Linked DNA regions of Macaca fascicularis. The protein of the gene in region 1 binds, or shares a complex with, the protein of each later gene. Links are inferred from orthologs where the notes say so. Each region holds a gene or a part of one and is shown on either strand. Other genes may lie near its edges. The genes, in order: GLI1 and SUFU.

Region 1 (3,808 bases):
TTTATGGAAGAAAGGACTTACAAAAGCAAAAATCTGCGTTGGGCCCTACCTTGAAGGAGAGCCCCGATTTAGGAAGAGACCCTGGACTTGGGACCCTGGTGCCTCACCGTGCACTTGTGTGGCTTCTCGCCAGTGTGTCTGCGCATGTGCACCACCAGCATGTACTGGGCTTTGAAGGGCCTCAGCTCCCTGGAGCAGCCCCCCCAGTGGCACACGAACTCCTTCCGCTCCCCGTGGATGTGCTCGCTGTTGATATGCTGAGGGAGAAGATACAAAGGCTCTCCGAGGCTCCGCCATGCCCCCCAAGGTCCAGAACAGACCTTCCCTCCACTCCCTGTTCCTCTTCCACGACTGCAGCTCAAGGAGGAAGAGGCAGGAACAATATCATATCTCACATCTCAGGTCTTCCAGCTCCCTAAGGCAAAGTTACAACTTCTGAGCTTCTGCCTACCCAACTGAGCATTCAACCTCAGTCTCCTCTGACCTCCTGCCCTCAGCCAGATTCTACCATGTCCCACTCAGAATCTCCTAAAGTTTTCGGTTAGCCATTCCTGTTACCCCCTGGGGCTCACGTGCACCAGCTGCTCTTGGGAGTCAAATTCCTGGCTGCAGCCATCCCAGCGGCAGTCAGTCTCATACACAGATTCAGGCTCACGCTTCTCCTCTCTCTCAAGGTCCTCTCGCCCATCCAGCATTCCCAACAGGGAATCCTAGGGCAAGAGAGGCAATCTTAGGGTCACTTGGGTGACAGCTTTAGTTTTGCTCAGGTCCTAGAGGTAAAGCTCCCGCCCATCCCCTTACCTGTATGCCTGTGGAGTTGGGGCTGGACATATCACCTTCCAAGGGCTCCTCCCGGCACTTGCCAACCAGCATGTCCAGCTCAGACTTCAGCTTCCCCAGGGGAAGAGGTGACAGTGATGAGGGTGGAACTCAGCAGAAGGAAGAGGAAACCAAGCCAGGTCTTCCTGCCCTAAGTGCCCCCACCCAAGCAGCTGGAACCTCCTGGGTTTGGAAGGGACTTCCTCCTCAGACTACACTGGTGAATGGGATGGGCAAAAGATCCCATTTGGAAGTGTCTGACTCAACTGCAAGGAGTGAACCCCAGCACCCACACCTCTTTACTTTTCTAGTACTGAAAACTTATAACCCTTGTCCTTCTTCACCTTTCCCCTACAAAATCCACCACCCACCCACCCTGAGCTAAGGGAAATCAGGTAGCAATATGGGGACTCTCACCTGGCAAGTTGGGAGGGGTCCCCGGGACTGAGGGTGTGGGATCATCCCACCCCGGGCAGAGTCATGGGGACCACAAGGCTGGACTCCAAAGGAAGGCGAGGGCCCTTTTTGGTGATTCATCTGGGCTGGGAATCCCAGAGATGGGCTGAGGAGGAGAGAAGGAAGTTACTTAAGACAATCTGGAAGTCTCAGGAGGGATTGGGCTATTTGGAGGATTTCTGGAAGACTTGGGATTTGAAGTGGTTGAGGCAGTCCCAGGGAAGTACTGAGGAGAGTTGCCCTTGATTCAAATAGGGTCAGGTGGTTTGAGGGCTTGATACTTTTAATGGACTTGGGTAGGGGCTTTAGGGGCCTCTTGGCCCGGAGCTGACTGCACCTCATGGTGCTGATGGAGAGATGGCCATAAGAGCCTCCTGGAGATGTGCATCGCGAGTTGATGAAAGCTACGAGGGAGCTGGGTGAAGTGCGGATAACCGTCTGCAGGTCCAGGCTGGCGTCCGACAGAGGTGAAATGGACAGTGCCCGCTTCTTGGTCAACTTGACTGCACTCCGGGGAGAAGAAAAGAGTGGGCCTGGGGCAGGAGACACGGGAGATGGATATGGTAAAGGGGCATGTCTCTCCACACACCTAACCTATAGGTCCTGACTTGGCAAAACCAATGAGACTTGATTCTGCTTTGCTCTACTGATCCTATCTGTGACTTTTTTTTTTTTTTTTGAGACAGAGAGAGAGAGTCACACTCTGTCACCCAGGCTGGAGGGCAGTGGTGCCATCTTGCCTCACTGCAACCTCCACATCCCGGATTCAAGTGATTCTCCTGCCTCAGCCTCCCCTGTAACTGGGATTACAGGTGCACACCACCACGCCCGGCTAATTTTTGTATTGTTAATAGAGATGGGGTTTCACCATGTTGGCCTGGCTAGTCTTGAACTCCTGACCTCAAGCGATCTTCCTGCCACAGCCTCCCCCTAAAATGTTGGGATTACAGGTGTGAGCCACCACGCCCAGCCCCATCTGGGATTTCTTGATGGTGCTCTGACACCTCACATCTCCAAACATCTCCTCCTCCAAGTGAGATCCCCTGCCCTCCCACTTTCTCTTTCAGAACAAGTCAGAGAGGGGCAGAAAGGGGAGAGGTGTTGCCTGAGTCCTCACCCTCGGTGCAGCTGTTGGTCTCTCTGGCTGGCCCATAACTGTGGGGGCCAGACATGAGGTTAGCTTGGTGGCAGAAGGGCAGGCCAGACAGTCCTAGAAAAAAGAGACAGCTGGAATGGGAATGGAGGACATGTAAGCCTCACCTTAAAACCCCAGGCAGGACCTGATCCCAGGATTCCAGGTCCATATGACATGGGGCCTCAAATCTTGTAGATAGGAAACTGGCATGGGGCGGGGATGGGCCCAAGTGGGAGATCTGCCAAATCCTCAAGGCCCAGGAATTGGTATATACACTGACCTTCTGTCCCCACACTGGGGGCCCCCTGACTGGGGAGGGGCCGGAGACAGCAGGGCTCGCCATAGCTACTGACTGGTGGTGGGGTCATCGAGTTGAACATGGCGTCTCAGAGGAGGGTGTGGGGACACTGCAGAAAGGGAAGGTAGTTATGAAGGTGGAGGCAAATAGAGACGGTCAGACAGCAGTCTCAGGCACTGAATCCTGGGCACAGCATCCCTGGTGTCCCCAGCCCCTCTAAAACATCTGCCATGGAAATCGAGTTGAAAAGAGCATCACTGGGCCGGGCACGGTGGCTCACGCCTGTAATCCCAACATTTTGAGAGACTGAAGTGGGCGAATCACCTGAGGTCAGTTCAAGACCAGCCTGACCAACATAGTGAAACCCCCGTCTCTACAAAAATACAAAAGTTAGCCAGACATGATGGTGGGTGCCTGTAATCCCATCTACTCGGAAGGCTGAGGCAGGAGAATTGCTTGAACCGGGAGACAGAAGTTGCAGTGAGCTGAGATGGCACCACTGCACTCCAGCCTGGGTGACAGAGTGAGACTCCGTCTCAAAAAAAAAAAAAAAAAAAAAAAAAAAAGCGTCACTCAGCCAGGCAAGGCAAGGGGTAAGGGGAAATGTCCCAGAGAGGCAGAGGGAGTCTTATAGTCTGTGTAGTCTGGGGATCTTCTTGGGAACTGGTGGGAGCTTTGCCTGTGTGGTCTGTGTGGAGAGGGCATGTTTTGGATTGTGCCTATATTAACTTCAAGTTATTTTAGTAACATGGACCCTCTAATTCTTCTTGTTCTAACCCTGGGCCGGCTTTGAGGGGTGGGATGGAAGAATACGTGTGATGAATCTGACTTCAAGCACTGGGCCGCTCTGCTTGAGCCTGTTTCCCCTTCTCATACCCCTCTTGGGGGACAGCCCGTGTACAATCTCTGCAGTGTCCAGCAGAGGGAGCCCTAGCCACAGTCCCGACAGAGAGGCAGGTGGGGCCAGGAGGCAGCACAAGCGATCTGCCCTCTTCTTTTAGGCAGAAAACTGTGTGGAGGAGGAGGTAAGGTTCCTGAGGGGTCTCCTGAGTCTGTTGAGTACAAAGGTGAAAGCTGGTGTTATTCTGGGGTAGTTTAAA
Region 2 (3,808 bases), on another chromosome or scaffold:
TCCATGTGCTGAAAAGAAGTGATCTCGGCCGGGTGTAGTGGCTAATGCTTGTAATGCCAGCAATTTGGGAGGCCGAGGCGGGCGGATCATGAGGTCAGATCGAGACCGTCCTGGCTAACACGGTGAAACCCCATCTTTACTAAAAATACAAAAAATTAGCCTGGTGTGGTGGTGCTTGCCAGTAATCCCAGCTACTTGGGAGGCTGAGGCAGGAGAATCGCTTGAACTCGGGAGGCGGAGGTTGCAGTGAGCTGAGATCATGCCACTGTACTCCAGCCTGGCAACAGAGCGAGATGCCGTCTCAAAAAAAAAAAGAAAAGTGATCTCGTGCTCACTTCAGCAGCACATATACTAAAATTGGAACGATACAGAGGGGATTAGCATGACCCCTGCGCAAGGATGACATGCAAATTTGTGAAGTGTTCTGTATTAAAAAAAAAAAAGAAGTGTTCTCTAAGATATATAATTAAGTGAAATCTGCAGAATAGTGTGCTTCCATTTGTGTACGAACAAAACATGCAAGGGAGCCTGTGGATGCATAGGCTGGTCATACATGGCACCTTGGCACCCATGATGAGAGTCAGAGCTAGTGAGAGACTTAGTACCCTGTGGGGTTGTTTTCCCTTGTGGTTATGTGGCCTTAAACAAAACTCTTTCTAAAGTAATGTGCCTGCTTGAAGTGCAATGGTGAGCCTGTGTGTGAGGAGGCTGTGCCCTTGGCAGCAACAGCTACCCTTCGCAGAATCTGAACATCTCAGAGACATAGCCTGAGGATCCTCATGAGTTGTCTCTGCCACAGTGCGGGAGGCACTATCTAGACCTCCATTTACTTGAAGCCTAGTGTTCCTCAGGAATTCCTGCATCTACCTGTGGAAACTGGTGATAGATCTCAAAGGCCCTCCAAGGTTGGATGTTTCCTTCTGAGCGCCGTTTCAGCAACACAGAAATCTCGTTCTGTTTCTCCAAGGTGAAGGGCTTTCGTTGCCCTGTTGCCTCCCTGTGGACTTCTGGCCAGGTGGCCCCACAAAAAAGCACCTTATTCTTTCTTGGCAGATCCAATCATGGCTCCTGCCTCCCACCATGAGTCGGGATATTGGGGAAATGAAGCAGATGCCAGAAGTCTTTCGGGTTTCCCAGGCCAAAGGAGCTTTCACACTAATAACCTGTCCTTTTCATTTAAGTCTGACAGAATTGGCAAGCAGGAACAATTTAGGTTTTTGGAAATATCCACAAGCTCTTTGCTTCCATCCGGAGTGAATGCTTCTCTTCCTTCACAGGGGCTACCCTAAGAGGCTGGGAAGCCTCCCAGCCTGTGCTAGTGAGATCCCAGCCCAGATTCCAGGTCTGGATCTGAGGCCTTGAACACTGAGGATCCTTGTGTCTCTCCCACAGAGAACACCTTCTGCAGCGGGGACCATGTGTCCTGGCACAGCCCTTTGGATAACAGTGAGTCAAGAATTCAGCACATGCTGCTGACAGAGGACCCACAGATGCAGCCCGTGCAGACACCCTTTGGGGTAGTTACCTTCCTCCAGGTGAGGCACAGGTTGAATGCTGGTTCAAGCCTTCCTGTAGGAAGAGTCCTGGGAGGATAGGGAGGCTTGAGGAAGGGGAGTGAAGGGAGTGGGAGGTTTCCTTTGGCCTCCTCCTGATTTCTGTTTCCTCTGATGGTTTGTCAGGTAGATTCAGATGGTCTGATTTAACCTGCTGAGATGGGAGAAGGGGGAAGGGGAAGGGGCCATTTGGGTGGGAGAGAATGGCTGTAGCTGAGAGGGAGGAGTGGGGGTGGCAGGTATTCTGTGAACAGTGAACAGGACTTTCTAGCAGGAAGCCAGCTCTGGGTCATCCTTGCTGTTTCCCAGAAGCTGTGGTAACCTGCCCAGCTTTGACCAGTGTTTGTTTTTGGTCACGATGAAGTCTATGTGAAGGTTCCACTGATTCCTTTGATATTTACACAAAAGCCTATCCCCTAATAAGGAAGGGAGGAGTTTCTCTGCAAGCTGCTAGGACCTATTGGTGGTGGTTCCAAGCCTGATAGGTCTCAAAGTCTCTTGTTTACATTCCCCATGATACCAGACTGGGTAGGAATGGCTCCCTGAACCTCCCCAACTTCCAGAGACATAGCCTGAGGACACATCTTGAGTTGCTCAGGCCTTGGTTTTCTCCTTTGCAGCCAAGAGCTAGACTTGGTGTCATCCAGACACAGCAAGGGCAAGGGTCAGGCCTCAGGGCCCACCAGTGGACCCAGCCATTTACCAGCCAGGCAGCCACTCACTCCTAAGGGAACCATCCCATCTTGGCTGTACCAGCTCCTAAGCACAGATCCTGCCTGTGGTCTCCCAACTGGAGGTGACTCAGAGAGCCTGAGTAACTGACCTTCTTGGGGTGGGGAGCTGCCATTAACACACAGTGGCTTTCTATCCTGGGCCTCAGATTGTTGGCGTCTGCACTGAAGAGCTACACTCAGCCCAGCAGTGGAACGGGCAGGGCATCCTGGAGCTGCTGCGGACAGTACCTATGTGAGTACCCATGCAAGGTGGGAGCCTGGCTCCCTGGGCCTGGGGATGGGAGTCCCTCCACCACCCTCCATGTGGGGCTCCCTCTTGCATTGTTATTTCAGGCCCTGGTTTTTCACATCAGGGCTTCCTGACAACTCACTCCCTGACAGTCCCTTACCACAAACTATTCCCCTGTGTCCTAGGCCTGGGGCAGCAAACAGGGCAGGCTGTAGGCCCAGCCCATCAGCCCCAGATCCTCAGTTACCATCCCCTTTCCTTGTCCACAGTGCTGGCGGCCCCTGGCTGATAACTGACATGCGGAGAGGAGAGACCATATTTGAGATTGATCCACACCTGCAAGTATGTCTTGAGTGAGGAAAACCTTTCTAGTAACCTGTGCCTAGGCCTCTTCCAAATAACACTGGCTTTCATCCTGGGAAAATGGAGGAGCTTTATGTGTGAGTGAGTAGAAATTTGGCATCATTTGGAACTTGTCCCCTGAATTCTGCGGAGCACATAGGGAACAGAGATTTCAGCCCAGGAAAGCTAGTCCTCAGACATACGTATTTTGGCATTTTAAAAGGATATTTTTATTGTATGTAAATTACATATTGGCTTAAAAAATTAGATCGCCAGCAATAAAAGATAAGTGTAGTGGATATTGCTTGTTTGCCCAGTATTCATTCTCTTGCCTCCCAGACTTTCTTTTAGGGAGCCACCATGGCCACCACAGCCCTGTACCAGACAGTGGTGTAGGTGATAATGACTCCATGGCCCAGCTTCAGGAGTGAGTGCTGATTGGTCTAATGGTCCCATCCCCGTTTTCGCCACATTTTCTATCTTGGACAGTCAGACGCAGAGCTCCTAGCCTGGAAAGGTTGGCACCTTAGACATACAGGCTGGCAGCTGCCCACTCCCTGTGGCCCACCTGGACAGTGTTTCAGTGTCATCTTTGCTGTTTTAGAAGCATTCCTTTGGCATGCAGGTAAATCTAGAAAGCCACAAGAACGTAACTGCCTTTTTTTTTTTTTTTTTTGGTGGGGGCGGAGTTTCACTCATGTCACCCAGCCTGGAGTGCAATGGCGCAATCTCAGCTTACTGCAACCTCTGCCTCCTGGGTTCAAGCAATTCTCCTGCCTCAGCCTCCCGAGTAGCTGAGATTACAGGCGCCCGCCACCACGCCCAGCTAATTTTTGTATTTTTAATGGAGACAGCGTTTCACCATGTTGGTCAGGCTGGTTTCGAACTCCTGGCCTCAGATGATCTGCCTGCCTCGGCCTCCCAAAGTGCTAGGATTACAGGTGTGAGCC

The links.
Region 2: the proteins of GLI1 (region 1) and SUFU are in contact, whole or in part, in a crystal structure (PDB 4KMD), measured with the Homo sapiens proteins. The link is inferred for Macaca fascicularis from reciprocal best matches to the Homo sapiens genes GLI1 and SUFU. Residues at the interface, in NP_005260.1 of Homo sapiens: Gly119, Ser120, Tyr121, Gly122, His123, Leu124, Ser125, Ile126, Gly127; in NP_057253.2 of Homo sapiens: Leu144, Tyr147, Asn153, Thr154, Phe155, Gly158, Asp159, His160, Val161, Ser162, Trp163, His164, Gln212, Asn265, Leu266, Ser267, Gly268, Val269, Ser270, Ala271, Glu376, Leu380, Lys398.

The regions. Positions count from the first base shown.
Region 1 is NC_088385.1:64,273,021-64,276,828, reverse strand, and holds part of GLI1 (zinc finger protein GLI1), read right to left. Parts: intron 3,734-3,808; exon of another isoform or gene 3,647-3,733; intron 2,818-3,646; 5' UTR 2,791-2,817; coding exon 2,691-2,790; intron 2,486-2,690; coding exon 2,393-2,485; intron 1,809-2,392; coding exon 1,613-1,808; intron 1,382-1,612; coding exon 1,237-1,381; intron 892-1,236; coding exon 802-891; intron 711-801; coding exon 573-710; intron 258-572; coding exon 108-257; intron 1-107. UniProt on the Homo sapiens protein: Acts as a transcriptional activator. Binds to the DNA consensus sequence 5'-GACCACCCA-3'. Regulates the transcription of specific genes during normal development.
Region 2 is NC_088383.1:111,603,993-111,607,800, forward strand, and holds part of SUFU (suppressor of fused homolog), read left to right. Parts: intron 1-327; exon of another isoform or gene 328-434; intron 435-1,392; coding exon 1,393-1,535; intron 1,536-2,433; coding exon 2,434-2,519; intron 2,520-2,785; coding exon 2,786-2,858; intron 2,859-3,808. UniProt on the Homo sapiens protein: Negative regulator in the hedgehog/smoothened signaling pathway. Down-regulates GLI1-mediated transactivation of target genes. Down-regulates GLI2-mediated transactivation of target genes. Part of a corepressor complex that acts on DNA-bound GLI1.